Linked DNA regions of Saccharomyces cerevisiae S288C. Changing the gene in region 1 together with any one later gene gives a genetic interaction. Each region holds a gene or a part of one and is shown in the gene's direction. Other genes may lie near its edges.

Region 1 (7,738 bases):
TTTCTGCCATTGCTGGAGTGATCAATCTCAAATCAATAACAGTATTGTATGCCATTTTTGTCTTATTGAATATTTTATCGGAGGAATTTGCATCCTTTGGGCAGTAAGCCTCTAGATAATCAATGTATTTGGACCAAATACGTAATGAGTTGAATAGAACAGTTTGAGCAGGTATTTTTCTGTGTCCATTCTTATATTTTTCGAGGAGAATTTCTGGATTTGTTGGCACATGTAATGCATCTTCAAGGATAGAAAAAGCTCTTTCCACCCCTTCTTTATCTAATTCTCTATCAGCCCAGTTTAGGTAAATTTCTTCCAGATCTTCTATATAAGGATACGGTACCTTCAGAGATTGTGTCCACAATTCTCTAGCTGTACTAATTGCGTTTGATCTCCAATACAAATCCCCATACGAACACCAAAGCCTACCGAAAGAGCCAGGCGTACCAACTTTTCGGGGATCAATTTTCAGTATAGCTTCTGAATACACATTACACTTTTCCGCTGCTGACTTCTGCAAGGACACTCTTTTCATCCACGTTTCCACCAAGTTGGAATCTTGCCTTAGTGCGACATCGTTCAAATAGATATCATATAAGTTGATTAAAGATTCAAATGTCGCCATATGAGCTTGTAACTTTTCAGTCCAATCTTTTTGATTAAAGAATTTGCTGTCATTTTCCTTTAGCTTTCCCAGAATAAATTGGGAGCACTCTTGCTCAAATAGCAAATAGAAATTATAGATGCGATCAAAATCACTGTACCTAAGTGTTTGCTGTAAACTTTTCTTCAATAAATCACCACAACTGTCAAGCCTCCCGCGAGAGATATAATATTTGGCAAGTGATAGGATCAAAAAAAGCCATTTGTCGGGATATATGCCATTCATTTGCCTCATGAACTCCTCATATTGATTATCTAAACCTAGTTTTTCTAGGCTGGCCAAATAATTGAAATTTAATTCAAAAGGCAGTTCTGAACTAGGTAGATACTTCCCACTATTTTCATCTTGTGGCAAATACTTTTCATATACTGATTTGATGGTAATATTGTCTCTAGTTAATGCAAGAGTTGCCAGCGATTCATTTCGTTTTTGCTGAGGAGCCACTTTTAAGTATCTTTCTAAAATATGTGACGACCAAATATCACCTCTACTTCCGTTTTCACTAATTTCCTCGCTAATAAAACCTCCCTTCGTGAAACCCTTCACTAAAAGTACATTTATCAATTCAGCTTCATCAGTACTTTCTTCTTCATCTTCTTGAGTTGAATCCAGTTGCGTTAATGGTAAAACTTTTTCTTCCACAAATTTTATGACAGGATCCCAAACTTTCCGATGCATTTCTCTCTCCATTTTCATTAAAGATGAAGCTAAGGCATGCCTTATCATTGCCAAGTCATATTGTTCAATTGCCAATTCTAAATAAGACAAACATATCCTGTCACAATCTCGTACACAGCTTTTCAGGCACCTTTGAAAAAGCCAGAAAATACGTGAAGTTTCGACTACTTCCTTTGTTGATTCCCAGCGTATATAATCTTCCCATATACTTGTATCTGTTACAAATTGTGAACAAAATCTTTCATATAGCCACCTAATCTGTTTGTCAGTTCTTCCCTCCTCTTTCCAATACTCGATATATCTTTTCCATGTAAGTATGTTCTGCGGTGTCTTTTGTATTTCGTACTCAAAAGCCACATCTTCATCATTTCTTATGTTCTCATCGACGTTTGTTATTACTCCTTTCATTGCGATGTATGCTGACATAGGATATATGGACACAATAAGTTTTGCGGTACTGAAGGATAGTTGAGTCCAATATGGAGGCCTGATTATTTCCTTTTTTTCTATCTATTTCCTTTTGTATTATTTTGACTGAAAAGCTTGCCAGCGTCTTTACTAAAATCTTTCATATGTTCGGACCGCTATAGTAAACTGAAACTTGATATTCAATAATTATCAATCTTCGAAGCTAAAGAAATACAAAATCTTTATTCGAAAAAGTAAGTAACATAATCAACCGCTGATTAGCACAATATGAGGATACAGTCGCTTTTTGTTTTATTTAATGTTGCCATCATCGCATGGTCATATCCATATGAGCCTTTAAGGGTTTTACAAGTAGGAGAGAATGAGGTAATGGAGGTTCCCGAATCAGAAAAGCTAAACTTACGAAGAAGAGGTGTCAAATTCTTTGATGTGACCAAACACACTTCTTTCTTACCTTTCTTTAACAAGGAGGAAGAGCCAACAGTACCAACGTATAACTATCCTCCTGAGATATCGAACAAAGAAGTAGTGGATGATTCGATTAAGAATATAGACAAGGGCTCTATGCACAAGAACTTGGCAAAGTTTACAAGTTTTTACACCCGTTACTACAAGTCCGATCACGGCTTTGAATCTGCCGAGTGGTTAGCTGCAACTATCGCTAATATTACAAAAGATATTCCGCAAGATACGTTGACTATTGAACATTTTGATCACAAAGAATGGAAGCAATATTCAATTATAGTCCGTGTCACGGGATCTACTACGCCAGAAGATATTATAATAATTGGTTCTCATCAAGATTCTATCAATCTGCTACTGCCATCCATAATGGCAGCTCCAGGTGCGGACGACAATGGGTCAGGCACGGTGACTAATATGGAGGCTCTCAGATTATATACGGAAAATTTTTTGAAGAGAGGATTTAGACCTAACAACACTGTGGAATTTCACTTTTATTCCGCCGAAGAGGGGGGATTGTTGGGTTCTCTTGATGTTTTTACAGCTTATGCCAAACAGAAAAAGCATGTGAGAGCGATGCTTCAGCAAGACATGACGGGATATGTTTCTGATCCAGAAGATGAACATGTGGGGATTGTCACCGACTACACTACTCCCGCATTAACTGATTTTATAAAACTAATTATCAACTCTTATCTATCCATTCCTTACAGGGATACACAATGTGGCTATGCTTGTAGCGATCATGGGAGTGCCACCAGAAACGGATTTCCAGGCTCCTTCGTGATTGAAAGTGAGTTCAAAAAGACTAACAAGTATATTCACAGCACCATGGATACTTTGGACAGATTAAGTCTCGCTCATATGGCGGAACACACAAAAATTGTATTAGGGGTAATCATTGAACTCGGGTCATGGTCCGCTTGGTAAAAGTCAGTAATATGCATACATAACTAATGATGCCTTACCTTGGTGTTCTTTTGTAATATACCTAAACCGATATCACGCTAGTATTTATTTCCCGAATTTTTTTGGCGTATTTCGTCATCTGAAAATAACATAATCAATGAAAGAAATAGAGTCAGTTGCAAAAAGTGCAAGCCAGCGCTAACCGCTCCCGATTTAGTCGCAATATTGATGGCAAACAGTACCAAAAACTGGTTACCCATATAAATTGTTTGGCATTGTTATTATTGTTATAAATTATTATTGTTATTATTATAAATTATTATTAGTATTATACAAAGTTTTCAATTCTGCAACAAGTTGGGCCGCAAAATATGGAGAAAAGCGAAAGTAATTCTGAAGGACTTTATCTCCAAAATATATTAAATGTTCCCCCTCCGCAGCGATTTATTGTGCTCATAATACTTGCCCTTTGGATCTGGACATGGATATTAAAATTCTTCTTGCATAGTAATTTAGACGTATCCCAAGTCATACTCACGAGAGTACCGCACGATATACGTCCAGGTTATACTCTACAGCAATTGCATAGAACAGCTAGAAATTTTGCTTTGAAGATAACAAGGATTATTATACCGTTCCACTTTGCCACTGTGTTCCTTTTTGAGTTCATGAATATTATAGAAGGTCCACTCAAAAATATCATTCTCATCGTATATTTTCTACCATTGATCCAATGTGTCACTATATTTTGGTTTCTGTTGAAAGAGTGCCAGATAATAAAATATTGTACTAGGAGATGTTTGTTGATAGAATCCTCCCCCCGTTCCTTAAGGAATACCTACATTTTAATCTCTGACACGTTGACATCGTTTGCAAAACCATTGATAGACTTCACATTGTTTACCTCTCTAATTTTTAGAGAACCCTTCACACATTTTGATCTATCCGTAGCCCTTCTTCCTGTACTGGTAAGACTACTGCAGTGTTTGAGAGAATACCGTTTACTGCACGAAGCAACTTTACTATTCAATGCATTGAAATACAGTTGTAATCTTCCCATTCTTTTTTGCACCTGGAGATCAAGAGTGTATGAGGGATCCATCAACGAAGAAAGACTACACCACGTTCAAAGATGGTTTATGCTAATTAATTCTTCCTATACGTTATTTTGGGATGTAAGGATGGATTGGTCATTGGACTCGTTAACCTCTTTAAGATCCAGATCCAAAAGTGCCGTCACATTAAAGAAAAAAATGTATCATTCGGCGATTCTCGTTGACTTTTTGCTGAGGTTCTGGTGGCTATGGGTATATTTATCGCAGAATCTGAAATTAGTTGCCGCAGATAGCGACTACATTTTTTTCCAAGGCGAAATGCAGTATTTCGAAGTAATTAGAAGAGGCATATGGGTCGTTTTCAAATTGGACGCAGAGTATTATATTAAGTTTGCAAGCAAATAATTTGTTGGGCAAGCCATATAAAATCATGCAAATGCTGTAAATATTTGTTCTATTTTCCCCGTAGAATGGTTTATTCGATATATTACATATAATAAACGAAAAATACATATGCACAGTATATACTTTTCCAAAAAAAAATCAAACACTGTTTGAGCGTCAAGAAACCCCAGGCGGTGCCCGACGATAATGCGACTGCATTATCTCCTACGCTTGTTGTCGTTTGCCTTTCTTTGGTTTATTCTTCGTTCATTTTTGGTCAAATATCTGAACTTTTTTACTCTTGGCTTCTTCTTTTGTTTCTCATCCACGCCCAGAAACTTCGCGTATTTGGTGGCTCTATTTATGCTTTGTTTGAGTACTTTTTCTGCCTTTTCTAATTTGACATTATTTAGCTGGGCTAAATATTCAAAGTTATCATTGGGTTCCAATGTCTCCAATTCAACAGTAGTTGAGTCATCGTATATTTCCGTGATTGCTCCTTTCTTCAAAATAGGCTTTACGCTACTTTCATTATTGTCGTTATCGCCGTCATCTTTATCAGAATCAAACCCGTGCCAGGATTCATCAGATTCTACCTGCAAATCCTCCGTCTTATCATTTTTCGCATCCTCTATCTCAGCTTCCAAGTTTAAACTCTCTTTAAACGTCTTTAACTGTTCTTCCATCACCTCCTTACGTTCCTGCCGAATCTTCTGTCTTTCTTCAATTTTTCTAAGCCTTTCCTGCTCCTTAATAAACTCTTGTGCTTTCTTTTGTCTTTGAAGCTTTCTCTTGTGAAAGCCAGTCAGATAATCCAAACGAGAATCCTTGTCGAACGTCACCTCATCGGTACCGAATTTCTTTGATTGCTTTGTAGCATAGTTTTTGCCTCTTGTAAGGATTTGCCTATTGGTGTGAACAGCCATAGCAAAAATCGAAAACCTTTAATTCACCCCTCTTGATTCGAGCAGCTACCAGGAACTTGAATATTGCAACTCTCTATTTTTTATCTGCTATTATCTGCTGCTTTGCAGAATCGATCCTCATCACATTTGAAAAATTTCAAATGTGAAAAGTCCCTACTTACCCGTTCGCGGCTCATGAAATCGTGTCCTCTTCAATATAAGACAAGAGTATCAAACAAAGGATATAAGGCAAAATACAACAAATTACCAGTGAATTCCGCATTTCCAAGTCAAATCAAAAACTATTTTCGAGGAAATAATGGCAGGCCCAAGGAATGTGCGTACATTACATGGAAATGGAGGCCGTAATAATGATGTGATGGGCCCAAAAGAATTCTGGTTAAATATCCCCCCAATAACAAGAACTTTATTTACTCTAGCGATCGTTATGACGATCGTCGGCCGGTTGAATCTAATCAATCCGTGGTACTTTATTTATGTTTGGAATTTGACGTTCAAGAAGGTTCAGATATGGAGACTTCTTACTTCTTGTGTAATGCTTTCGTCTCGTGCCATGCCTGCGCTAATGGAACTATATAGTATTTATGACAGGTCCTCACAGTTGGAGCGAGGGCATTTTGGTCCCGGTTTGTCCAATAGACGAGGACCGATGGTAACAGTAGACTATGCCTACTACCTGTGCTTTTGTATACTAGCCATCACTACGGCCACTACAATCATTTATGGGTCCTACTACCCTGTTGTGCTCACCTCTGGGTTCATATCATGCATTACATATACTTGGTCGATCGACAATGCCAACGTGCAGATCATGTTTTATGGTTTGATTCCTGTTTGGGGGAAGTACTTCCCCTTAATTCAATTGTTTATCTCTTTCGTTTTTAATGAGGGTGATTTCGTAATCTCATTGATCGGTTTTACTACAGGGTACCTTTATACATGCTTAGATACCCATACACTGGGGCCAATATGGGGGATGATATCCAGAAAAGCTGATCCAACCTACGGAATCTCGCCCAATGGGAAATTCTCAACGCCATGGTGGTTTACTAGTCTATATGCTCGCATAACGGGTGCCCACAATGAAACTGCAACATTCAACAACAACTTTGCCAATGTGCCATCTTCGCAAAGAGAAACGAGAACTTTTAGTGGAAGAGGTCAACGATTGGGTACGGCCCCTGCAACATTGTCTCAAACCAGTGGCACAGATTCAGGCAGAGCTTCTGGAAGTCAATTAAGAAGTGGCCCATCGAATTTGAACCAATTTCAAGGCCGCGGCCAACGAGTAGGACAAACAAACAGCCCCTCCGACTCACAATAACAACTTTTATCTATTTCTATGTACTTTGCCATTCATTATATACATCAAGAGAGTCTGACATAGTATTTTCGTTGGCATAGCAACCGATTGATAATGAAACATCACTCAAGACGAATTGACAAATGGGCCACTATGGTAAAACAATTCTTTACATGATACCACCAGTATATAGAAAGGTTCTCGTGTTGATGAATTATATAAGAAAGTGAAAATCGATTTCAAGATAATTACTCTTTTTACCTCCTCTTTCATTGTGGTCACCGTTTTTGAACACAACATGCACCAAGATTTTCAAGAAGACGAGCATGAGTATCCAGACATCAGACGCAATCCGCTGCATGAGGTGACCATGACTTCCTACATACTGGGGATTCTTTTAGGTATATTTGTTGGTCTTTTTCCACAAATTAGATTCAAGAATTTTAACCTCTTTATTATTGCCCTGTCCTTATTCCATTTTTTGGAGTATTATATTACAGCTAAATACAATCCTCTTAAGGTACATTCAGAGTCCTTTCTTCTGAACAACGGCAAAAGTTACATGGCGGCACATTCCTTTGCTATTCTGGAATGCCTCGTAGAAAGCTTTCTTTTTCCTGATCTGAAAATTTTTAGCTACTCTCTAGCTACCAAGCTTTGTACAGTACTTGGATGTCTTCTAGTTATTCTGGGACAATATACCAGAACTATTGCTATGCATACTGCGGGACATTCCTTTTCTCATATTGTGAAGACCAAGAAGGAGTCCGATCATGTTTTAGTGAAAACTGGCGTTTACTCCTGGTCAAGACATCCAAGTTATCTTGGGTTCTTTTGGTGGGCAATTGGCACTCAGCTACTGCTTCTAAATCCCCTATCATTGGTTATTTTCATTTTTGTACTTTGGAAATTTTTCAGTGATAGAATT
Region 2 (8,170 bases), on another chromosome or scaffold:
AATCAGAAATATGTGGAGACTGCGAAATAATATCGGGTTTACATTATTTATGATTTTGGGTAACTGTAGTATGGCTTTAATCTTGGGTTCAATGTTTTTCAAGATCATGAAAAAGGGTGATACTTCTACATTCTATTTCCGTGGTTCTGCTATGTTTTTTGCAATTCTATTCAATGCATTTTCTTCTCTGTTAGAAATCTTTTCGTTATATGAGGCCAGACCAATCACTGAAAAACATAGAACATATTCGTTATACCATCCAAGTGCTGACGCTTTTGCATCAGTTCTATCAGAAATACCCTCAAAGTTAATCATCGCTGTTTGCTTCAATATAATCTTCTATTTCTTAGTAGACTTTAGAAGAAATGGTGGTGTATTCTTTTTCTACTTATTAATAAACATTGTCGCGGTTTTCTCCATGTCTCACTTGTTTAGATGTGTTGGTTCCTTAACAAAGACATTGTCAGAAGCTATGGTTCCCGCTTCTATGTTATTGTTGGCTCTATCCATGTATACCGGTTTTGCTATTCCTAAGAAGAAGATCCTACGTTGGTCTAAATGGATTTGGTATATCAATCCGTTGGCTTACTTATTCGAATCTTTGTTAATTAACGAGTTTCATGGTATAAAATTCCCCTGCGCTGAATATGTTCCTCGTGGTCCTGCGTATGCAAACATTTCTAGTACAGAATCTGTTTGTACCGTGGTTGGAGCTGTTCCAGGCCAAGACTATGTTCTGGGTGATGATTTCATTAGAGGAACTTATCAATACTACCACAAAGACAAATGGCGTGGTTTCGGTATTGGTATGGCTTATGTCGTCTTCTTTTTCTTTGTCTATCTATTCTTATGTGAATACAACGAGGGTGCTAAACAAAAAGGTGAAATATTAGTTTTCCCACGCAGTATAGTTAAAAGAATGAAGAAAAGAGGTGTACTAACTGAAAAGAATGCAAATGACCCCGAAAACGTTGGGGAACGTAGTGACTTATCCAGCGATAGGAAAATGCTACAAGAAAGCTCTGAAGAGGAATCCGATACTTACGGAGAAATTGGTTTATCCAAGTCAGAGGCTATATTTCACTGGAGAAACCTTTGTTACGAAGTTCAGATTAAGGCCGAAACAAGACGTATTTTGAACAATGTTGATGGTTGGGTTAAACCAGGTACTTTAACAGCTTTAATGGGTGCTTCAGGTGCTGGTAAAACCACACTTCTGGATTGTTTGGCCGAAAGGGTTACCATGGGTGTTATAACTGGTGATATCTTGGTCAATGGTATTCCCCGTGATAAATCTTTCCCAAGATCCATTGGTTATTGTCAGCAACAAGATTTGCATTTGAAAACTGCCACTGTGAGGGAGTCATTGAGATTTTCTGCTTACCTACGTCAACCAGCTGAAGTTTCCATTGAAGAAAAGAACAGATATGTTGAAGAAGTTATTAAAATTCTTGAAATGGAAAAATATGCTGATGCTGTTGTTGGTGTTGCTGGTGAAGGTTTAAACGTTGAACAAAGAAAAAGATTAACCATTGGTGTTGAATTAACTGCCAAACCAAAACTGTTGGTCTTTTTAGATGAACCTACTTCTGGTTTGGATTCTCAAACTGCTTGGTCTATTTGTCAGCTAATGAAAAAGTTGGCAAATCATGGTCAAGCAATTCTATGTACTATTCACCAACCCTCTGCTATTTTGATGCAAGAATTCGATCGTTTACTATTTATGCAACGTGGTGGTAAGACTGTCTACTTTGGCGACTTGGGCGAAGGTTGTAAAACTATGATCGATTATTTTGAAAGCCATGGTGCTCATAAATGCCCTGCTGACGCCAACCCAGCTGAATGGATGCTAGAAGTTGTTGGTGCAGCTCCAGGCTCTCATGCAAATCAAGATTATTACGAAGTTTGGAGGAATTCTGAAGAGTACAGGGCCGTTCAATCTGAATTAGATTGGATGGAAAGAGAATTACCAAAGAAAGGTTCGATAACTGCAGCTGAGGACAAACACGAATTTTCACAATCAATTATTTATCAAACAAAATTGGTCAGTATTCGTCTATTCCAGCAATATTGGAGATCTCCAGATTATTTATGGTCGAAGTTTATTTTAACTATTTTCAATCAATTGTTCATCGGTTTCACTTTCTTCAAAGCAGGAACCTCGCTACAGGGTTTACAAAATCAAATGTTGGCTGTGTTCATGTTTACGGTTATTTTCAATCCTATTCTACAACAATACCTACCATCTTTTGTCCAGCAAAGAGATTTGTATGAGGCCAGGGAACGCCCCTCAAGGACTTTTTCTTGGATTTCATTTATCTTCGCTCAAATATTCGTGGAAGTTCCATGGAATATATTGGCAGGTACTATTGCTTATTTTATCTACTATTATCCAATTGGATTTTACTCCAACGCGTCTGCAGCTGGCCAGTTGCATGAAAGGGGTGCTTTATTTTGGTTGTTCTCTTGTGCTTTCTACGTTTATGTTGGTTCTATGGGTCTGCTTGTCATTTCATTCAACCAAGTTGCAGAAAGTGCAGCTAACTTAGCCTCTTTGTTGTTTACAATGTCTTTGTCTTTTTGTGGTGTTATGACTACCCCAAGTGCCATGCCTAGATTTTGGATATTCATGTACAGGGTTTCACCTTTGACTTATTTCATTCAGGCTCTGTTGGCTGTTGGTGTTGCTAACGTAGACGTCAAATGCGCTGATTACGAATTGCTAGAATTCACACCACCATCCGGTATGACATGTGGGCAGTACATGGAACCATATTTACAACTAGCAAAGACTGGTTACTTAACTGATGAAAATGCCACTGACACCTGTAGTTTCTGTCAAATATCTACAACCAATGATTACTTAGCTAATGTCAATTCTTTCTACAGTGAGAGATGGAGAAATTATGGTATCTTCATCTGTTATATTGCATTCAATTATATCGCTGGTGTCTTTTTCTACTGGTTAGCAAGAGTGCCTAAAAAGAACGGTAAACTCTCCAAGAAATAATAGAATTTTGAATTTGGTTAAGAAAAGAAACTTACCAAGATGGACTTTTTTAATAAACATACATAATCACTACATATAGGTGCGTAATAATAAGTTTTTATTTTTTTTTTCTTAATTCAGCGAGCTTTCTACATTTCAATTTTCTTGAATTTACCAGCTCTGATAAATCAAAGTTCAATGTCCGAAAGAATTCCGAGAATTTTATTCCTAGGTTATCTCATCGGTACTTTTTTTTTATAGGCATCAGCATTTAGTGTGAAAACATTATTTCTTAACTGTGCCTTACGGTTAAAAAGAAAGGACGCAATGGATATAGTTAAAATATAAGATATATTATATCATTATCTGTCCGAATGGCGAACCGTCTTCTCATATACGGCCTTATTTTGTGGGTAAGTATAATCGGATCTTTTGCATTAGATAGGAACAAAACTGCTCAAAATGCGAAGATTGGTCTACATGATACCACTGTGATCACGACTGGAAGTACAACGAACGTGCAGAAAGAACATTCCTCACCACTATCCACCGGTTCTTTAAGAACCCATGATTTTAGACAGGCCTCTAAAGTTGACATACGGCAGGCTGACATACGGGAAAACGGTGAGAGGAAAGAGCAAGATGCACTAACACAGCCTGCAACACCAAGGAATCCGGGCGATTCGAGTAATTCATTTTTATCGTTCGACGAATGGAAGAAGGTCAAGTCGAAGGAGCACTCATCAGGCCCTGAACGTCATCTTAGTCGAGTGAGGGAGCCAGTCGATCCCTCTTGCTATAAAGAGAAAGAATGCATAGGAGAAGAGTTGGAAATCGATTTGGGGTTTTTGACAAACAAAAACGAGTGGAGTGAAAGAGAAGAAAATCAAAAAGGATTCAATGAGGAAAAGGACATAGAGAAAGTTTACAAAAAAAAATTCAACTATGCATCCTTGGATTGCGCTGCAACAATTGTCAAAAGCAATCCAGAAGCGATTGGAGCGACTTCTACGTTAATTGAGAGCAAAGACAAGTATTTACTGAATCCCTGTTCAGCTCCGCAGCAATTCATTGTTATAGAGCTTTGTGAAGATATCCTGGTGGAGGAAATTGAAATTGCTAATTACGAATTCTTTTCCTCGACCTTCAAGAGATTTAGGGTGTCAGTTTCTGATAGAATACCGATGGTTAAAAATGAATGGACAATATTAGGAGAATTCGAGGCAAGAAATTCAAGAGAACTACAAAAGTTTCAAATACATAATCCCCAAATCTGGGCAAGTTATTTGAAAATCGAAATTCTATCCCATTATGAGGACGAATTTTATTGTCCCATATCCTTAATCAAAGTATATGGTAAATCAATGATGGATGAGTTTAAGATCGATCAACTAAAGGCTCAAGAGGATAAAGAACAATCCATAGGAACTAACAATATAAACAATTTGAATGAACAAAATATCCAAGACAGATGTAACAATATAGAAACGCGTTTAGAGACTCCAAACACAAGCAATCTCTCAGACTTAGCTGGTGCATTATCATGTACTTCAAAGCTCATCCCTTTGAAGTTCGATGAATTTTTCAAGGTGCTTAATGCATCCTTTTGTCCTTCCAAGCAAATGATATCTTCTTCTTCTTCTTCGGCTGTTCCTGTAATTCCAGAAGAATCCATTTTTAAGAACATCATGAAAAGGCTGTCACAACTGGAGACAAATTCTAGTTTGACAGTTTCTTACATTGAGGAACAGAGCAAACTGCTATCTAAATCGTTTGAACAACTTGAAATGGCGCACGAAGCAAAGTTCAGTCATCTTGTCACGATATTCAACGAAACAATGATGAGTAATCTAGATCTGCTGAATAACTTTGCCAATCAATTGAAAGATCAATCTTTACGTATATTAGAAGAACAGAAACTGGAGAATGACAAATTTACTAACCGTCATTTATTGCATTTGGAAAGATTGGAAAAAGAAGTCAGTTTTCAAAGAAGAATTGTTTATGCGTCATTTTTCGCCTTCGTAGGGTTGATATCCTATCTATTAATAACGAGAGAGCTTTACTTTGAAGATTTCGAAGAGAGCAAAAATGGCGCTATTGAAAAGGCAGACATTGTTCAACAAGCAATCAGATGAATCCTAGAGGGCCCATAATCATAATTCTAAGCATAATTCATTCAAGATGAAAAAATCCACCGCCATATATGAGGTGTTTCTATAGGAAATATCTATATACTTTTATAGTCCTAATTTCATTTTACATAAACTGTTTTAATCAGTTTCTAATAATCTATGAAGATAATTCACTGTTTCTTGAGGGGATGCTATCCAGAGGGTACATCCAGCTAGCCTTGCCTTAAAATCATTTGCTGATCCCACCGGTGCAAACTGATCGCCTACGTGTAAGGTTTCAGAGGGTTGGATAGGAGATTCAGGGTTATAAAATTGTTGCAATGAACGAACACCAAGATCTTTCCCCCCAATATCACACCAGACATCACTACCACCATCAAAACAACTAAATTGAATTCTTCTAGATGGGGCAAAAGACTCTAAAGTGTTTTGAAGGGTTAAAACTATTTCCTCCAGTTGTTCCCTATCAAGCTTAACAGGAACTTGTCTTTTAGAAGCTTCATCGTACCGTTCGCCTGGGACGATACCCACTGCCCTGACTTTACGGATAATAGAAATCTCTGAAGGTAGGTTTAGTCTTTTTCTTAACCTGTTAAGAGTTCTCTCGGCAAAGTCCAAAGTCTTTTCCACGTCCTCGAGGGACCAAGCCTTCATTCTAGGCAATAGCCATTCCTCTTTGTCAATTTGTCTAAAGCCAAAGTTATCTTCCTCCGGGTCTTCATAGTAACGGAAAAGGTAACTCGACTCACCACCCATTATTGTTAAATTCTGCTTTTGAGAAACTGGTATATCAGTTGAATCATGTAATGCAACAATTAATCCTTTCAATCTGTTCTCATAGGTTCCAGCTTCATCATATCCGGCCGCAGTGACTATTCCCACATTGATACCGCACCGCAACAGCTTGAGAATATAAGGAATTACAGGATTAGTGTAAACCAGGGAGCCACCATCTTCATACAGCGTCACATCTCCATCAAAAGTCACTAATCTCAAAACCTTACCATTATGTAAGTTCTCCTGTTTCTTAAAGTGAAATATCTGTGCAGTATTCAGGATATGCCTGATATCATTAAAACTGGGTGCTACCATTCTACGCGCCGAAATGGCCCGTTGTGAGTCTTCCCATAGAAAAGCTTGTTCCAATGGAAGTTCCGTAAAGAATGTTCCAATTGATGGAACCAAAAGATTTAAACGCGATTGTCCTAATATATTCAGAGATTGAGAAGAGGCGCCATCTTCAATTTCGTCTTGGCTCATGTTTCTTGAGTCAAATTCTATTTTATCTTTAATCAGCCCTTCAATGTCTTTAAAGATATCAGCATACTGCGACCTTACACGTTGAGTTGTTGCTAAGTCGTCATTGTAGTCACCTTCATGAGAGACGGCATGTAGAACAAAAGGTGAGGCCAGTAGCCCCTTTACCCAATCTATAAACTCATCCTTGCGGTGGCTCTTCAAATGATATTCCACTCTATATCTTGAGGACATTGCTATTATAAGTTAACTCACGATCTTTTGTTACTTTCTTTGAATAGTTTTCTTTTCTTAGTACATTCCTTTACCTTTTAAATTTTGTTAATTTAAGGGCGGCCTGTCCCGCTAAACGTGGGAAGTGAAAGGACATGAAATATTATAGTGTAATACAGGAAGTATACAGAGAAATCTATAGAAACCTATCACTGCAGATTCGCACACTACACCCATGAAGTAACCACAGTAGTAAAAAAACATAACAAAAGTCGTAATATTTATCAAAACAAAAACATCATTTACGCCCAAAAGTGGAAGTCAATATTAAGAGCGAAATGAAACAATAGAAATAAAAATAGAATACAATCGGAAAGGAAAGAAATCAAAAGACGGTTAATCAATCTGATGTTAAATCGACCACTTCCGAGTTATCTTGAGCCGATGTGTTAAAGTCATTAGTTTGGGCCAGAGTTTTATTCATTATGGCGTGATTTGCCTGTGGTCTCCGTTTCATAAGGGTGGCGTATGGATTCTTCGGAATGTAGATAGAAACATTAGAATGCCTTCTCTTCCTAATTTTTCCATCATCCCCATGGCCGCTGGTGCTCACGTGTATATATGGAGGGAGATGTGCCGCCGATGTGGTCCTTGTTGGTAGTTCAGTTTCTGCTTCTGAATTTGGGTCCACAGGGGGGATTGGAGGCAAATCACCTTCGATTCCCAAAAGATTACGATCTTGAGCTGTGGTATTGTAATTAGGTCCGTAGGGGTTTCTCTGCGCTTCCGTTTGATTAGTCAAATTTTGTAGAACAGCCGGTAATAGTGGCGTTGATGGCCCTCTATTGTAGAATATTCTGCTGTCACCATTCGTCGCCGTAACGAAAGAATTAATACTGCTATTGTTCGTCGGTGTGTCATTTATATTTGTAGTAGCGCCTTGGTTCAAAAATGACCTCATTTGAAAAGCATCTTGATAATTATCTTGGTCCATAGTTGGAGAACCTTTCGGCGTTGATGTATGATTGGGGTTGTAGTCACTGGATCCTTCCGATTCTGAGGGAAATATATCTGCTCTTAATTGGTCATTACGGGGGTTCACGTGCGTTGGGAAGCTTTTACTAGCCGGAATAAAGGCTTCATCATCTGAGCTATCCAGAGATATTATTTCGGGTTCGTTGTGGTTTGAACCATTACGCAAATTAGTATCGAAGGCATTTCGGCTGTCATAATCTTGCTCTTGTTTGACAGTGCCTTGGTTCTCGTTTTTCACACTGTGATTTTGGTTAACAGTATCCGTTATAACGGCCGAACTATTATGAATCGGTTTCCATGAGCCATCAACAGATATCTCAACTTGCTCAACATCTTCATTGCAATTTTGAATAATATTATCTACAAATTCGGAAATCTTCAACTGGTCGAATTTTATAGGGTGTTGACAAATCGGACACTGCCATGTAGGGACTTGTGACTGAGAGTGAAGAAACCAGAGAGCATCAAAACATTGGATATGCTTACATTGGTCAGTCTTCGCCGGATACTTCATCCTTGTACAAGATATAGGACATTGCAA
Region 3 (7,377 bases), on another chromosome or scaffold:
GAGACTTCTCTTTACCCATTTTGTAATTAAAACTTAGATTAGATTGCTATGCTTTCTTTCTAATGAGCAAGAAGTAAAAAAAGTTGTAATAGAACAAGAAAAATGAAACTGAAACTTGAGAAATTGAAGACCGTTTATTAACTTAAATATCAATGGGAGGTCATCGAAAGAGAAAAAAATCAAAAAAAAAAATTTTCAAGAAAAAGAAACGTGATAAAAATTTTTATTGCCTTTTTCGACGAAGAAAAAGAAACGAGGCGGTCTCTTTTTTCTTTTCCAAACCTTTAGTACGGGTAATTAACGACACCCTAGAGGAAGAAAGAGGGGAAATTTAGTATGCTGTGCTTGGGTGTTTTGAAGTGGTACGGCGATGCGCGGAGTCCGAGAAAATCTGGAAGAGTAAAAAAGGAGTAGAAACATTTTGAAGCTATGGTGTGTGGGGGATCACTTGTGGGGGATTGGGTGTGATGTAAGGATTCGCGGTCCTCGAAAATTAAAAGTCCAACGCGCCTGTTGCTTCCTATGTGATATGTATTATATGTAATATGCATAAATATATCTACTGCATTGTATTTTGAACGTACAAAGTATGCATTGTTTATACGCTATTATCAGCCAAAGTTGGGTGGTCGCTTTCTGTTGTATGACTATTGATGTCTAGGCTGTCAATAATTTCGTTTTGAGCCTCCATGTCTCTGAAGAACTCCCTGTTGGCAAGGCTGGACGAAGAGGCAGATGGGGATGACCGTAGTCTTATGCCCCCTTGACGGCTGTTCCTGCCTCTGACTAAAGACCTCATTAAAGATTTCGTGAACCTTCTTGTCGTCTTAATTATCCCGTTGAAAAATTTACTCCAGCGAGACCCGTCCTCTATGAGGTCCCAGTGTGGTTGCTCATTTAAAGATGGCGATATGTCGTGTAACTCGTCGTCGTTTTTCAAATGCCTATTTAGTTTAGCATAGATCCATCTTCTCCCCGCAAATTCGACTAAAAAGAATATAGCGAAGATACCGATGAAGATACCCAAAACGTTAACTTCATTCTTTTTGTTTGAGGTGGGGCACGCATGAATGCTGCGGACTTCGAAGAAATACGAGCAATTGTGTAGGTTTCCAATGTATGATATCTGGGCCTTTGATTGAATTTCTTTATCGCAGACAAAATTCAATAAAGTTGCCTTCTTGTCCTTCCCGTTCGGGCACATAGAGCCGTTTTCGTATTTGAGAGTTAATTTCTTGGCAGTAGAGCCGCCGACTAACGCAGGCCTTGTACTGAAGTCTCCAATCGATACTAAATTATTTTCGTTCAACTGGTCTACGTAAAAAGCGCCCGTTAGATTGGACAGTTGTTGCGACTCAGCTTCTCCGACAGGACTAGAGCAGATGCCTAACGTGAAGTTTGTATCGTAGCCCCAACCTCTCACTGACCACTTCGTCTTGGAGGATTCATGCTTGTTATTGCCAGAAATCTGTTTTTGGCCCTCCCTTAATTTGTTGGGAGTTGAAGATAGCTGTGATAGATCTATGTATGATCCGGTGACTGGGTTGGTTACCGCACAAAATAGATCTTCATCGTTTTCGCTTTTGGGTTTATCCGGATTTGCTAACGTTCTTTTTTGCTTGTGAGAAGCCCTATGTTCATTGGCTTCATGGGACAGTCCTGGACCATTGTATACATGCAAAAGTATTGGTATGGTAATGATTAGGACACATGATAGATATATTAGAGATGATCGTTTCAACATATTTTCCAGTGTGCGATCCTACAGTATGTTTTATGTTCTATAAAATAAAGCCCTTTTTTGAGAAGTAGTATGCTTAGTAAGAGTCTCCTGTAGTTTTGCGTTCTTATTATTGAAATTGAAATACTTGGCATTTTCTTCAAAACTTAACCCTTCTTGTTTCGGATACCTCTTGTACCTGCACCCGAAAGGGAAACGCGGCCAAATACAGCCGCAAAGTGACAGTAATGTGAATAAGTATAAGAAAGGATTAGTGAGCGGGAACTACAGTTTGGTAAATAATTAATTTGAAATTTACTGCCAAGGTAGAAAGGTGTCTTTTTTTGAATTTTTTTTTTTTTTTTTCAGAAGAAGGTTTTTCTTTTTTTTTGCTGAATATTTTCTATAATTATTTAGTGCTTCATTTTGATGTCACAAAAAAGTAATACTATAAAAAAAGATTTTATGTAGAATGGATAATTTGTGAAAGCATTCCTGGGATTTTTTTATAAATTTCTCATAAGTGTTGTAATAAAAGCTAACAAAAGAGACTGACTTCATAAGTAAGGGTAGCAAGCGTAAGTATAACTAAAAAACAAAATCATATAAAAAGATAAAATATCAATCATGCAAACGATTTCTGGAGTCTTACCAACAGTATTAAGCCCCTCAGAGCTTAGGTCTGATGATGAACGAACCTTCCAGTTTGACGAAGAAGCTGAAATAACAACGCATTTGACTGAAAGCGAAGATTTACGAAGGTTAATCAATGAGACTGCACAATTAGGTGTCAGAGTTGATCATATTCACGATAAAACTGACCAAGAAATTGCCAGGCTGGAAAAAGTGATTAAAGAAGTTACTGAAAGTGATACTTTTTTCCGATCTTGTTCTGGCTGGTTTAAAACCAATAAGAATTTTTCTGACAGTGAAAGCAGTTCAAATACGCAGCTGAAGAGTCTTTCTCAATTGCATGGCCGCTATGATCGTGATTGGAGACAGAGGTTGAATAAGTGGTTTAGAAAAAATAAGAGTAAATTAGCCCTACCATCTGATAATAATCTGGAAGAGGTAAACGATGATAAAGTATATGGATATGGAGAGGACTTGATGGAACGGGGCAAGACACCATATTTTAGTGATATTGATGATTTTATGAATGGATTGAATATTATATCACCCTTAACACCTGACGATTTTGAAAATGACGATACATTAGTTAAAATTGATGAAACCTGCCAAATTCACTCCGCTTCTGAACCTGAGAAGACCTCCATAAGTCCCACATTTGGGAAAAATATCAAAAAGGAGCTAGTAACTGATGATACGGAAAGCATTATTAGCGGGCCTCCTTTGCAAGAGAATAAAAAGACTCTTTTGAAATACCGATATGTCAGGACTTCTCTTGATATGCTCGGCTCTGAAAAGAGTAGTTCTAAAAATAACAGCGGTGGTATGTTCCGTATTTTCCATAAGAGTGCTAATTTTGGCGACAAAAATCAAGAAAACGTGCCACGAGTGTGGGACACACTTAGAAATAATTTGGGAAGGGAAATTTATCTTTTGCAAGGAAGATTCAAAAAATGGACTACAAAGCATCAAAATCTTAAGAAGGGCCAACCTTGTAAAGATGAAGACGCCGTTACCGTTCCCTTACCATCATCTGATCCGGGAAAGGAAACACAGTTGGAAACTAAACTCTGTTTTGTGCCCGAACCAGGTGATCAGCCTTTGGTACAAGCATAACCGTGTAAAAGGTTAATGAGCAAACGTTCCTTGCTTGTGTCAAGACATGTTCGGGCAAGATATAAATAAAATTCAAATAATGCCAAGTATCAATAAATTCTGTTTACATTTCCGCACTATAGTGCATTCTTGAAATCGAAACGCGTTAAGTTCTCAATAAACAACGCGTTACCCTCTCAACAGAAAATAATGCCCCATTGTCCTGGGGTGAATTTAAAATCAAATGATTATAATGTGCGCTATTGTTGCACTGCTTCCCAGGCCGAATAAGAGAGGCACCACATTTATCAAACTGGTTACGTTCGTTTTCTGAAAATCAAACAAAAAATGTCGAGCTCCTCCAAGGCTTCTGCAAGTTCATCCTTGTCAAGCACAGCCACCTCTTCAACTTCTGCAACTAGAGGCAGCGACGGATGTGTTGTTTGCGATTCAACTGCATCATGCCCTGTTTGCGCTTCAGGAGAATATTGTGTTATGACTTCATTAACATGTGACAAGTGCCCATCCACATACTGTGCGAAACAGTCCGATTCACAACTGAGTAGTTTATCTTCCTCCTCCTCTAGTTCTAGTTCCAGTAATTCAAATGAGAAAACCTCGTTGATTGTGGGGTTCACCGTGGGTATTGTAGGTGGTGCGATGCTTATTGCCTTGGTGGCGTTGTATTTCATCAACAAGAGATATTGGAAGCCCAAAAGGCAAAAAAATAAAGCTTTGAAATTGGAAGAGGCATCGCAAAGTTACGGGAATGAAGAGGAATACTTCGACGATGAAGACGATGATGATGAAGACGATGAGGATGATGGCGGTATGAGAAAAGATGAAAGTCACACCCTGTTCAATACGTCACTGGTACCTCCAACTCTCAACGTGCCGGGAAACAGAAGTTCAGCATCTACCACTCGTACAAGGGCTTCTAATATTTTGCCTATTGCCTACATTCCTGGTGTGACAAGCGGTTTGAGTACCGACAAACTGCAATCAAAACTACGCTCGAGCTCTAAGAGACAAAATGCAGCTGGTGATATCAGGTCACATATAACCTTAGGTTCTTCCATCTTGGATGGTCTGGATGACGAAGATGACGAGCATAACCAGGTACTCAATAAGGACGCAGACGATAACCTCATAACTGCTATTCGTGCTAAACCTAAACTGGTTCAAATCGCAGAGGAAGAGAGTGATAAGGAGATTCAGGACTTGGATGTCATTGAAGAACAGACAGAGGCGGATGATCTTTCACACATGGCAAAAAGCGAGGCAAGCCATGGTAATAACGACGAAGATGACGATGAAGAAGGAAGTTTTATACTGGACTTGGAAATTCCAGAATCGATACGCGAGAGCACCCAGGGCAGTCGCACTGAGAGCCCGTTTGAGGACAAGTTCGAAATACACGATGAACGATAAATAAAAGGCGTGTCAGTATTCTGCAATCCCGGGGAAAATATTATATCATATCAATATTCAATGATCTACGTCTATATAGTTACGTGTATACGCCGTAATAAGCGCTTTTTTTTTTTTTTTAATTTTCTGACTACTGTTCAGCCATCAAGGTATGTCTAAATTAATAATATTCAGCATTTTCAACGTGCGCTTACCATCTGCTAATACACAGCTCCTCTGAAAGTTTCTTGGCCGAATGTCATAATTTTCGAACCAAATATAAAAATTCATACACATTAAAACAAGATGTGCTTACAAAGCGGATAAGTTCCGCAGCAGCCAAAGCTGCATTGAGACATTTTTCGCATACACATCACTTCTCTGGGGAATGAAGCATCCGAAAACGCCAACGGGACTAAAATACAGCAAACTTGCATTTTGGTCATTTATGGTTAGCAAGTTTAAGTGCTACTACATTACATATTACCTGACCCTGAAAACGGGCTTAAAAGCCCATCTACTATAGTGCCGCTGCGGGTAACCGTAGCTTCTTGCTTTTTTTCCCACCGTCATTTATTTTCTAGTCTTCTTTCCGAGAAATGCCGGCGGCGTTTGCCGTTCCGTTCGCAATCTCTCGAGAAGTTCGAGAGATGAAAAATTTTCTTGGGAAAGCCAAGAAGGTACGATCGTAGGCATGATTCATATATAAACTCTTTCCCAATCTTTTTGGTTACGTACATACTCCCCCCTGATCTTTTACCTACATACTTGATCGTGACTTCTTGATTCATTCATTTCTTGTTCTCACCGTTGTCTTCCTTTTAAATTTCGTTTTTTAAGTTTCAGATCAAACTGAAGTACAACAGAGAAGGAAGCTCATCCCAAGCAACTCTACATAGTTACCTCTTTAGCAAACAAAATGACTCAATTCACTGACATTGATAAGCTAGCCGTCTCCACCATAAGAATTTTGGCTGTGGACACCGTATCCAAGGCCAACTCAGGTCACCCAGGTGCTCCATTGGGTATGGCACCAGCTGCACACGTTCTATGGAGTCAAATGCGCATGAACCCAACCAACCCAGACTGGATCAACAGAGATAGATTTGTCTTGTCTAACGGTCACGCGGTCGCTTTGTTGTATTCTATGCTACATTTGACTGGTTACGATCTGTCTATTGAAGACTTGAAACAGTTCAGACAGTTGGGTTCCAGAACACCAGGTCATCCTGAATTTGAGTTGCCAGGTGTTGAAGTTACTACCGGTCCATTAGGTCAAGGTATCTCCAACGCTGTTGGTATGGCCATGGCTCAAGCTAACCTGGCTGCCACTTACAACAAGCCGGGCTTTACCTTGTCTGACAACTACACCTATGTTTTCTTGGGTGACGGTTGTTTGCAAGAAGGTATTTCTTCAGAAGCTTCCTCCTTGGCTGGTCATTTGAAATTGGGTAACTTGATTGCCATCTACGATGACAACAAGATCACTATCGATGGTGCTACCAGTATCTCATTCGATGAAGATGTTGCTAAGAGATACGAAGCCTACGGTTGGGAAGTTTTGTACGTAGAAAATGGTAACGAAGATCTAGCCGGTATTGCCAAGGCTATTGCTCAAGCTAAGTTATCCAAGGACAAACCAACTTTGATCAAAATGACCACAACCATTGGTTACGGTTCCTTGCATGCCGGCTCTCACTCTGTGCACGGTGCCCCATTGAAAGCAGATGATGTTAAACAACTAAAGAGCAAATTCGGTTTCAACCCAGACAAGTCCTTTGTTGTTCCACAAGAAGTTTACGACCACTACCAAAAGACAATTTTAAAGCCAGGTGTCGAAGCCAACAACAAGTGGAACAAGTTGTTCAGCGAATACCAAAAGAAATTCCCAGAATTAGGTGCTGAATTGGCTAGAAGATTGAGCGGCCAACTACCCGCAAATTGGGAATCTAAGTTGCCAACTTACACCGCCAAGGACTCTGCCGTGGCCACTAGAAAATTATCAGAAACTGTTCTTGAGGATGTTTACAATCAATTGCCAGAGTTGATTGGTGGTTCTGCCGATTTAACACCTTCTAACTTGACCAGATGGAAGGAAGCCCTTGACTTCCAACCTCCTTCTTCCGGTTCAGGTAACTACTCTGGTAGATACATTAGGTACGGTATTAGAGAACACGCTATGGGTGCCATAATGAACGGTATTTCAGCTTTCGGTGCCAACTACAAACCATACGGTGGTACTTTCTTGAACTTCGTTTCTTATGCTGCTGGTGCCGTTAGATTGTCCGCTTTGTCTGGCCACCCAGTTATTTGGGTTGCTACACATGACTCTATCGGTGTCGGTGAAGATGGTCCAACACATCAACCTATTGAAACTTTAGCACACTTCAGATCCCTACCAAACATTCAAGTTTGGAGACCAGCTGATGGTAACGAAGTTTCTGCCGCCTACAAGAACTCTTTAGAATCCAAGCATACTCCAAGTATCATTGCTTTGTCCAGACAAAACTTGCCACAATTGG
Region 4 (8,346 bases), on another chromosome or scaffold:
AATGGGTCCAGAGAGTAGCATGAGGGCAGTCATTATAGGAATGATTTGTAAGGATGTACCGGACATATACGACATAAAAATATTCATCGGAATAGATTTGGCTGGTTGTAACGCAATTTGCCATGCCTTCTGTACTTGTAATACTGTTATTTGGTTTTTTTGTGCCAAAGAAGTAGTTTGAGATGTAGCATCTTGTTGTTTTCTTGTAACATTTCCTTTAGAGGAATTACCTTCAAATCCTGGTGGTGAAGGTAATGTGTTTGAGTTCTGAATGTTGTATTTTTCGATATACTTGGTGTCCAATAGGTGTTTAGCCCATTCGTAAGGCTCCTGTTCACTCATTTCTGTTGCTTATATCGTTTGGCTTTATTTTAACCTTAACTGATATTATGTTCAACTTTTTTTCATTCTATTTATATAGAAAAGAATACGCTTTTTTTATTATTTATGAAAGGAACATGAAAAAACTACGAATGTACAAAAGCAGAGATTGCTAGAGAATACATTGGTCAAGAATTTTCGCATATGGAACGCATTGCTCTTTTAGATGGGCTGTTAAATAATCGTAATTTAGGTTAGTTATTGCCCTTTGCGTCTTCCGTGGAACAATGTTGGTCCAATAAATTATAAAGAAAAGAAATTGGATAGCACAAATAAAAGAGCAAGCGATAATGCAAAACATTAAAAGTCTGTTTTCCATTAGTTTGTAATATTCTGAGGTCATCAATAAAAACCATTTTTTCGTTCTTGTAAAATTGTATCTCTCATCTGTATTGGATTTTTCGACCATTTGAAAATCATCCTTGCTTTTTCCTTTATATTCAGTCGAGGAATCATTTGCTGTATTAGGCTCTGGTTGAGAAACCTCTTCAAGGCCCTTTTTTGGGTAGGCTTTCAATAAATGTAGAACATTGCCGGATAGTGTAATAATTCCCATTATTATGGTTTTGTTTTGCCTGGTTTGGGCCTGACTTTAGTTATATGATTATTTTTGTATAGATAGCTATAAGTTATTGAAAGTAAGCTAGACAATAATTTTTGGTGAATAGTTGGTGAACATTCCTGAACTACAAAGGACTATTGTTATATTTAGTTTACTTCAATTGGCCCCCAATAGGCTTCGTAATTTTTACATGTCACAAAATTAAATAAGGCAAAACGAGAAACAAAATATTAAAAATGTAGGAAAAAAAAAGTCAAAATTGGTTTGACGACTTAACCTAATCAATTTAAGTCGGAATGATGATCAACAATAACATCTTTAATTTTATCATGAATATCTAATTCGGTTAATTGACCCAATTCATCTATGAGCTCGGCAACTTTATCATGCAACTTAACATCCTCCTCGTGAACAATTTCATTCTCATCCATTGTGGATGGATGAGCTGGTTTACTCATATCAGCTTTTTCCAAAAAGTCCTGGTTAGTATTTTCATCGCTTTCGGCACAGAACTGGCCTCCACCAAGAATTATTGAACACATTGTCCTTGTTTCGTTCAAGATGTCACTAGAATATGACATCCAAACTTCATCTTGTAAGAAGGCATATATATCTGGAGCAATTAGATCGGTCTTATAAATTTTGGAATACTTCGCAATTTCTTCGGCAATTAATACTAATTGACCCATATAACCTAAATTTGTTTTCTCTTTTTCGTAAAATTCAAACGAATCCTTGTGGCCTTGTAAAATGAAATCAGAGATAATATGGAAGTCTTTAACAGGTAACTTTTGGTTGCTGCCGTACAAAGGTTTTGGGATAAATCTTGTAGACTTTTTGAAATCAAACAAAGAATAGACCAAAAATGAGTTATAAGAAAAATCCATTCGACCATTGAATATCTGCTGAATAATATCAAATACAATGTTGTGCCAAAAGTTATTCCAAGGATATCTTAAGAATAATTGTAGAAACTTTGGAAAAAACCCAAGGTCATGAAGTTTAATTTTGAATAAATCTCCAATGGTAGGGTTTTTACGTATTTTCAAATTTTGCGTTTCACTGACGTAAGGAATTTCAAAACTCATATCATCATCATCATCAATATTGTCATCAGATGTATCAAAAGTAGAATACAATTCATTATCATGAAACTTTTTTTTAATATTTTTTTTTTGTTTTTGGTTGTCATTACTGTCATTACTATCATTATTATTACATTTATCTTCTAATGTATTGGAAGTAATAGTATTATCATTTATATTTAAATTTTTCATGGCTTTCTCTAGTGAGTTTTGATCAAGAGTGTCCCTGCATTTATCTCTGGTACGTGCTATTTTTTCGCCTCTTTTTGAATTCATCAATCCCATATTTGAACAGTGTAACATTTCCGATATCAATTCTGTAATCTTGACTCTTTCAAAGCCCAAAGGCCTGAATGATTCATGCAATTGGTTTTCTAGTAGGTGATGCTTAACAGATGGAAGAGCTTTTGAAGCAGTGTCATGATCATCGTCATCATCATTTTCAAGTTTAATTAGTAATGCATAAAAATCTTCCATATGCATAGTGAGCTCATATAACAAATGGCCCAAATAGACTGGATCTCTTTGAGAAGGCGGATTGTCTACTATGGTGGTACTTAACAAATCTACTTCGTCATAGTCGGAATTATTCTTCCTGATCAACTCAATTATAATAGATACGGCAACTCCCATTGCATGGCCTCTTTGAAATAAGATTATATTAATAAGTTGGTCGACATATTGCGGAGAGGCAAGCTGTCTTGTCAATCGGTTAGGTCCGATCCACAAAGTATCCAGTTTAAAATTGGTGGAAATGCTGATCAGTGCTTTTAGAAGCTCTCCGCTACTGTTTTGAATACCAGGTGAGTATTTGCTATTTTCCAAGAGATTCAAACACTTAGGTATCAGATCCTGGTGATACAAGAAGTCAATAATGTTCGTAGGTGATTCAACTTGATCAGTCAGCATGATTTTAATGAGAAATTCAACCAAGGGTGAGACTTCAATATGATATAAGAACTTGTCCACAATGTTCGGTTGCGATTTGAAAAATTCCAAATAGCTAGATGTCTGTTCAAACAGAAGAGTTTCGTTAATCTTAAGGAAAACAGCCAAGATAGGACAATTTTCTGCCTCAATATTTTCAAACTGGAAAACCTCGAACAGAGAGGACAAAAATGGGGTATTTTGCACGAGTGCCTCCACTATGGGCGCACTTTTCGAACAAAAAATACTGGAAATAATGTTGACATACAGCATTGGGTCTTCATCGTCCTGATCTTCATATTCACCTGTTTGATGGAATGAATTCTCTAAAAGAAATGGGGTTCTATAACCAGTGCGGTCTATGTCCTTCAGGTAAGCCATCAACATGTCCACTAGGTAGTCCATGTGGCGGACCTGCTGGGAACGGTCGTCATAGAAATATCCCAAGCAAATGAAGTCGACGAGTCTGTCGTTGGCTGCTCCATTCAGTTCATCCAGCAAAGCTGTTTCCAACAAGATCCTATCAATAAATGACTGGTTAAGGTCACTCCTATCCCGAGACTCGGTACCAAATTCGGACTCTGACTCCATAGAAGGCTCATTCTTCTTGTCGTCAGTTGAAGAGGTCTCATTTCCCTCCAAACTACGAAAAATTAGATAGTACTCTTCAAGTATCGAATCAATTCCGGAATGACTCAGCGTCTCTCCAAAGGGCCATAGTGACATATTTTTATTTTATTTTAGCTTTATCGAAAAGCAAGAGAGCAGTAAACTGGACGGTATAGAAGAAAAGAGAACTTAATAACAAAAGACCAGATTGTCTATAACTTTATCTCACACCAAATACCAGGTTGTCCTTTTCCCGCTGGGTGAAGCAACCGTTTCACTTATTCGCACAATCCAATTAGTAGAACACAACACAACACAACACAACACAACACAGCACAACACGCTTACCAAATTATATTTACTACGGCAACCAAAAACCGACAGAATAAAAAACAGCCATCATACGTGGATGAACTCTTGGTTTATTGTCTGTTATTATCCTCGAGAGTTCTTATTTAGGGGATTTAGGGCTGGCATCAATACCCTAACTAAACCCTGAACTGCCCAAGGAACAATTTTCAAAAGTAAGAAATGTCCTATACGTTTCTATGTATAACCCTAAGATAGTCAGGTTTCGGAAATAAGGCGGATTTCTACGTACATGATGATAATCATGTATCAAAGAAAGGATCAACTTGAAGAACAGCCTTAAAGTAAGCGTAATGGGCATTCTGTTTCAACCACCATTTCTGAAGTACTTTATATCTTGGATGCACAAAAGCTGTTACATCTAAACAAGAACGCAGCGTAACGAAATGGGAAAGCTGATAAAGTTAATCACAACTCTGACGGTGTTGGTATCGTTGCTTCAGTACTGTTGCGAATTCAATAGTGGGAGCATATCGTGTGAACGCACGCAAACGCTTTGCCATTATACCAATCCAAGAGTCTGGAACACCTACTTTTCAAGAAATTGTGAATTATACAAAAATAAAGTTAGTCCCGGTTTCGATATAGTGGCGCGTAAATATGACACGGCTGTCAAACCTGTCATCGATGACGCTACAGTAAAAGTGAACAAGGTCGCTATACAGCCTGCATTCAAGGTCATCCATTCACAATGTAAGAAATGGAACTGTGGAAAGTATTACCAATTGGTCCGCTCCCCAATGGTCAAGACTAGACGATTTTTCTTCGCAAAATACAATGCTTTTGTGAAACCTAACTTAGACAAATTCTTTACTGCGGAGTTTCGCTCTCATTTGAAGGAAAGAATTTTAAAGTATAAAAATATAGGCCATTATTACTTTACTATCACTTCAAGATGCATCAAATCCAAATACGACTTTATTGTTGGTAATACAGAGGAAAAATTAATGGGAAAGTTCAAGAATAAGGACACGCATGGCATTCATGGTTCTGTCACACGTGAGCCTTCCTCGGAGGACATGGTTTTAACCGTAAGTACTATGGAGTCTGACGAAGAGGAGCTAACTACAACAAGTACTCAAACAGTGGTTGAAACAATTACTTTGGACCAGGAAGAGGCTAGCGCTGTTGCTAATCATGCGCACGACGATGAGGCTTCCACAGACGTTGAAGGCTCCACAGACGTCAATGTCAATGAACAGGCTCTGTTGCAAGAGGATTTTGACATGTGGAGTGAGACTATATTGCAGAAAACACAAGACGTCATACAGCTATTTGAAAAGGATGTTTCCAAATACATCAATGGTAAATTGGTTGAGGAGGCCAACCATTTTAAAGCCAAGTTTCAATCTTTAGATGATAAATCTAAGAAGTTCTTCTCCAAGATTTCGCTAGCCATTAACGATATTGAATGTGTGGAAGGCATTGATAGTGAAACTGGCAAGAAAATTTTCTTCGATAAATCTGGAAGTACTGAGATTTCTCAGTACATAACGAGAGAGTTAGTTCGTGAGTACTTCAACGAGACGCGCTCGACGTTAGACGAACTGACAAATGCTATGGAGAAAGATTTGAGCGAAATCACTGATGAAATTGAAAAAAAAGTTAATGCAATTAGAGAGGAAAACGTCGAGGTATTTGAAGAATGGGGTGATATCATTGTAAATGAATGGTCCAAAAGAATGGCTTATGTGGATGTTATCAACGCTCACATGGGTGCAGATGATGACACTACGCTTGATGAAGAGAAAGCAAAGTCTTCTGTTAACTGGAAGAAGTTTTTGAAGGGCAAGAAACAGATCATAGAATCTAGAGACAAGCTGGCTCACCATTCCGCTGACTTATCCCGTGTTAACGCGTTTAGGCAAAAAGTGCAAAAGAAGATATTATCGTTCACTCAAGAGAGTGGTGAGTTTTTGTATATTCTAAGATCGAAAGCCAACCTGCAATTTCAGGAACGTGAAAGAAAGGAACGTGAAAGAAAAGAGCGTGAAAAAGCTGCAGCAGAAGAGTTCCAAAGGCAGCAGGAGCTATTACGACAACAGGAAGAAGAAGACGAAGAAGACGTATCCTACACCTCTACTTCGACCATCACCACAACCATTACCATGACATTGTGATGAAATTCATGCGCTTGCTATACACACACACACACACACACACACACACACACACAATATCTATCTATATATATATGTATGTTCTTTATTGTTTGTCTTTACCTTTATATATAAACATATATAGCCATATAAGAATATAATATTACCACTCCACTGTATTTTGTATCCTGCCTATTTTTGCTAGATTACAGGACGCGCGAGCCTTTCAGGGGAGGGAACTGATGAATCGATCAACCAAAAGAAAGAGCCAAAGGATTGGACCAGAACTGTTACTGTTATAGCAGAAATATTAGTAGTACGTTAAAGCCAAGCGTCGAATTTCAGCATAATTAAGAGGAAATGTCTGAATATATGGATGACGTAGACCGCGAATTCATTAACTGTTTGTTCCCGAGCTACTTGCTGCAACAGCCTGTGGCTTATGATTTATGGATTTTATATTTGCAACATAGAAAACTCTTTCACAAACTGAAGAACACTAACTTAATCAACGCTGATGAAAATCCCACTGGCGTTGGAATGGGCAGGACAAAGTTAACTGCTTTAACAAGGAAAGAAATCTGGTCTAAATTGATGAATTTGGGTGTTCTAGGCACAATTTCGTTTGAAGCTGTCAACGACGATTACCTGATTCAAGTCTATAAATATTTCTATCCAGACGTTAATGATTTTACTTTGAGATTTGGTGTTAAAGATTCAAATAAAAATTCAGTGCGAGTTATGAAAGCTTCCTCAGACATGAGGAAAAATGCTCAGGAACTATTAGAACCCGTTTTATCCGAACGTGAAATGGCGCTTAACTCTAATACCAGCCTGGAAAATGACAGAAATGACGATGATGATGACGATGATGATGATGACGATGATGACGATGACGATGACGACGACGACGATGAATCCGATCTGGAAAGCTTAGAAGGGGAAGTGGATACTGACACGGACGATAACAACGAAGGAGATGGCTCTGACAATCACGAGGAAGGTGGAGAAGAAGGAAGTAGAGGAGCTGATGCTGATGTGTCCAGTGCACAGCAGCGTGCCGAAAGGGTTGCGGACCCATGGATATATCAAAGATCTAGATCAGCTATTAATATAGAAACAGAATCAAGGAATTTGTGGGATACATCTGACAAGAACAGTGGTCTACAATACTACCCCCCTGATCAGTCTCCAAGTTCTTCCTTTTCTTCTCCTAGAGTATCGTCTGGTAACGACAAAAATGACAATGAGGCAACAAATGTTTTGTCCAACAGTGGTAGCAAAAAGAAAAACTCAATGATCCCTGATATTTACAAAATACTTGGGTACTTTTTACCTTCTAGATGGCAAGCTCAACCAAATAACAGCTTGCAGCTATCTCAAGATGGTATTACTCATTTACAACCTAATCCTGATTATCACTCATACATGACTTATGAAAGATCAAGCGCTTCTTCTGCCTCTACCAGAAATAGACTGAGAACCTCTTTTGAGAACTCTGGGAAAGTGGACTTTGCAGTCACTTGGGCAAATAAGTCATTGCCAGACAATAAGTTAACTATATTCTATTACGAGATTAAAGTTCTCAGTGTAACGAGTACAGAGAGTGCTGAAAATAGTAACATTGTTATCGGATACAAGTTAGTAGAGAATGAATTAATGGAAGCGACTACAAAAAAGAGTGTTTCTCGTTCAAGCGTGGCCGGTTCTAGTAGTAGCTTAGGTGGTAGTAATAACATGAGTTCCAATAGAGTACCTTCTACTTCTTTCACTATGGAAGGTACTCAAAGGCGTGATTATATTTATGAAGGGGGCGTTTCAGCCATGTCTCTTAACGTGGATGGTTCCATAAATAAGTGTCAGAAATACGGATTTGATCTTAATGTATTTGGCTATTGCGGATTTGACGGTTTGATAACTAATTCTACAGAACAATCTAAGGAATATGCTAAGCCTTTTGGTAGGGATGACGTTATTGGTTGTGGCATAAATTTTATCGATGGCTCAATTTTTTTCACGAAGAATGGTATCCATTTAGGTAACGCATTCACCGACTTGAATGATCTAGAATTCGTCCCATATGTGGCCTTACGACCTGGGAATTCTATCAAAACAAATTTTGGGTTAAATGAGGATTTTGTATTTGACATTATTGGATATCAAGATAAATGGAAGAGTTTGGCGTATGAGCATATTTGTCGTGGACGCCAAATGGACGTTTCAATTGAAGAATTCGACTCTGATGAAAGTGAGGAAGATGAAACTGAAAATGGGCCTGAAGAAAATAAATCAACAAACGTTAATGAAGATTTGA

Evidence for each region.
Region 2: mutations in ERD1 (region 1) and SLP1 together harm fitness more than expected from each alone (negative genetic interaction), as found in Saccharomyces cerevisiae (3 studies listed by BioGRID).
Region 3: mutations in ERD1 (region 1) and OPY2 together harm fitness more than expected from each alone (negative genetic interaction), as found in Saccharomyces cerevisiae (3 studies listed by BioGRID).
Region 4: mutations in ERD1 (region 1) and SHE10 together harm fitness more than expected from each alone (negative genetic interaction), as found in Saccharomyces cerevisiae (3 studies listed by BioGRID).

What each region holds. Positions count from the first base shown.
Region 1 is NC_001136.10:1,292,462-1,300,199, reverse strand, and holds ERD1 (Erd1p), read left to right. Parts: upstream 1-3,513; coding exon 3,514-4,602; downstream 4,603-7,738. Other genes in the region: mRNA splicing protein SYF1, read right to left, coding at 1-1,768; YDR415C (putative aminopeptidase), read left to right, coding at 2,039-3,163; rRNA-processing protein RRP17, read right to left, coding at 4,800-5,507; DFM1 (Dfm1p), read left to right, coding at 5,806-6,831; STE14 (protein-S-isoprenylcysteine carboxyl O-methyltransferase), read left to right, coding at 7,109-7,738. UniProt on the Saccharomyces cerevisiae protein: Required for the retention of luminal endoplasmic reticulum proteins, affects glycoprotein processing in the Golgi apparatus.
Region 2 is NC_001147.6:621,366-629,535, forward strand, and holds SLP1 (Slp1p), read left to right. Parts: upstream 1-3,363; coding exon 3,364-5,127; downstream 5,128-8,170. Other genes in the region: ATP-binding cassette multidrug transporter PDR5, read left to right, coding at 1-3,010; ISN1 (IMP 5'-nucleotidase), read right to left, coding at 5,263-6,615; SUMO ligase NFI1, read right to left, coding at 6,995-8,170. UniProt on the Saccharomyces cerevisiae protein: May be involved in membrane protein folding. Required for localization of MPS3 to the nuclear envelope.
Region 3 is NC_001148.4:693,236-700,612, reverse strand, and holds OPY2 (Opy2p), read left to right. Parts: upstream 1-3,793; coding exon 3,794-4,876; downstream 4,877-7,377. Other genes in the region: TEF1 (translation elongation factor EF-1 alpha), read right to left, coding at 1-19; MRL1 (Mrl1p), read right to left, coding at 599-1,744; YPR078C (uncharacterized protein), read left to right, coding at 2,348-3,466; transketolase TKL1, read left to right, coding at 5,775-7,377.
Region 4 is NC_001139.9:63,279-71,624, forward strand, and holds SHE10 (She10p), read left to right. Parts: upstream 1-4,319; coding exon 4,320-6,053; downstream 6,054-8,346. Other genes in the region: chaperone EMC4, read right to left, coding at 1-342; YGL230C (uncharacterized protein), read right to left, coding at 494-937; SAP4 (Sap4p), read right to left, coding at 1,225-3,681; glucose-induced degradation complex subunit VID30, read left to right, coding at 6,393-8,346.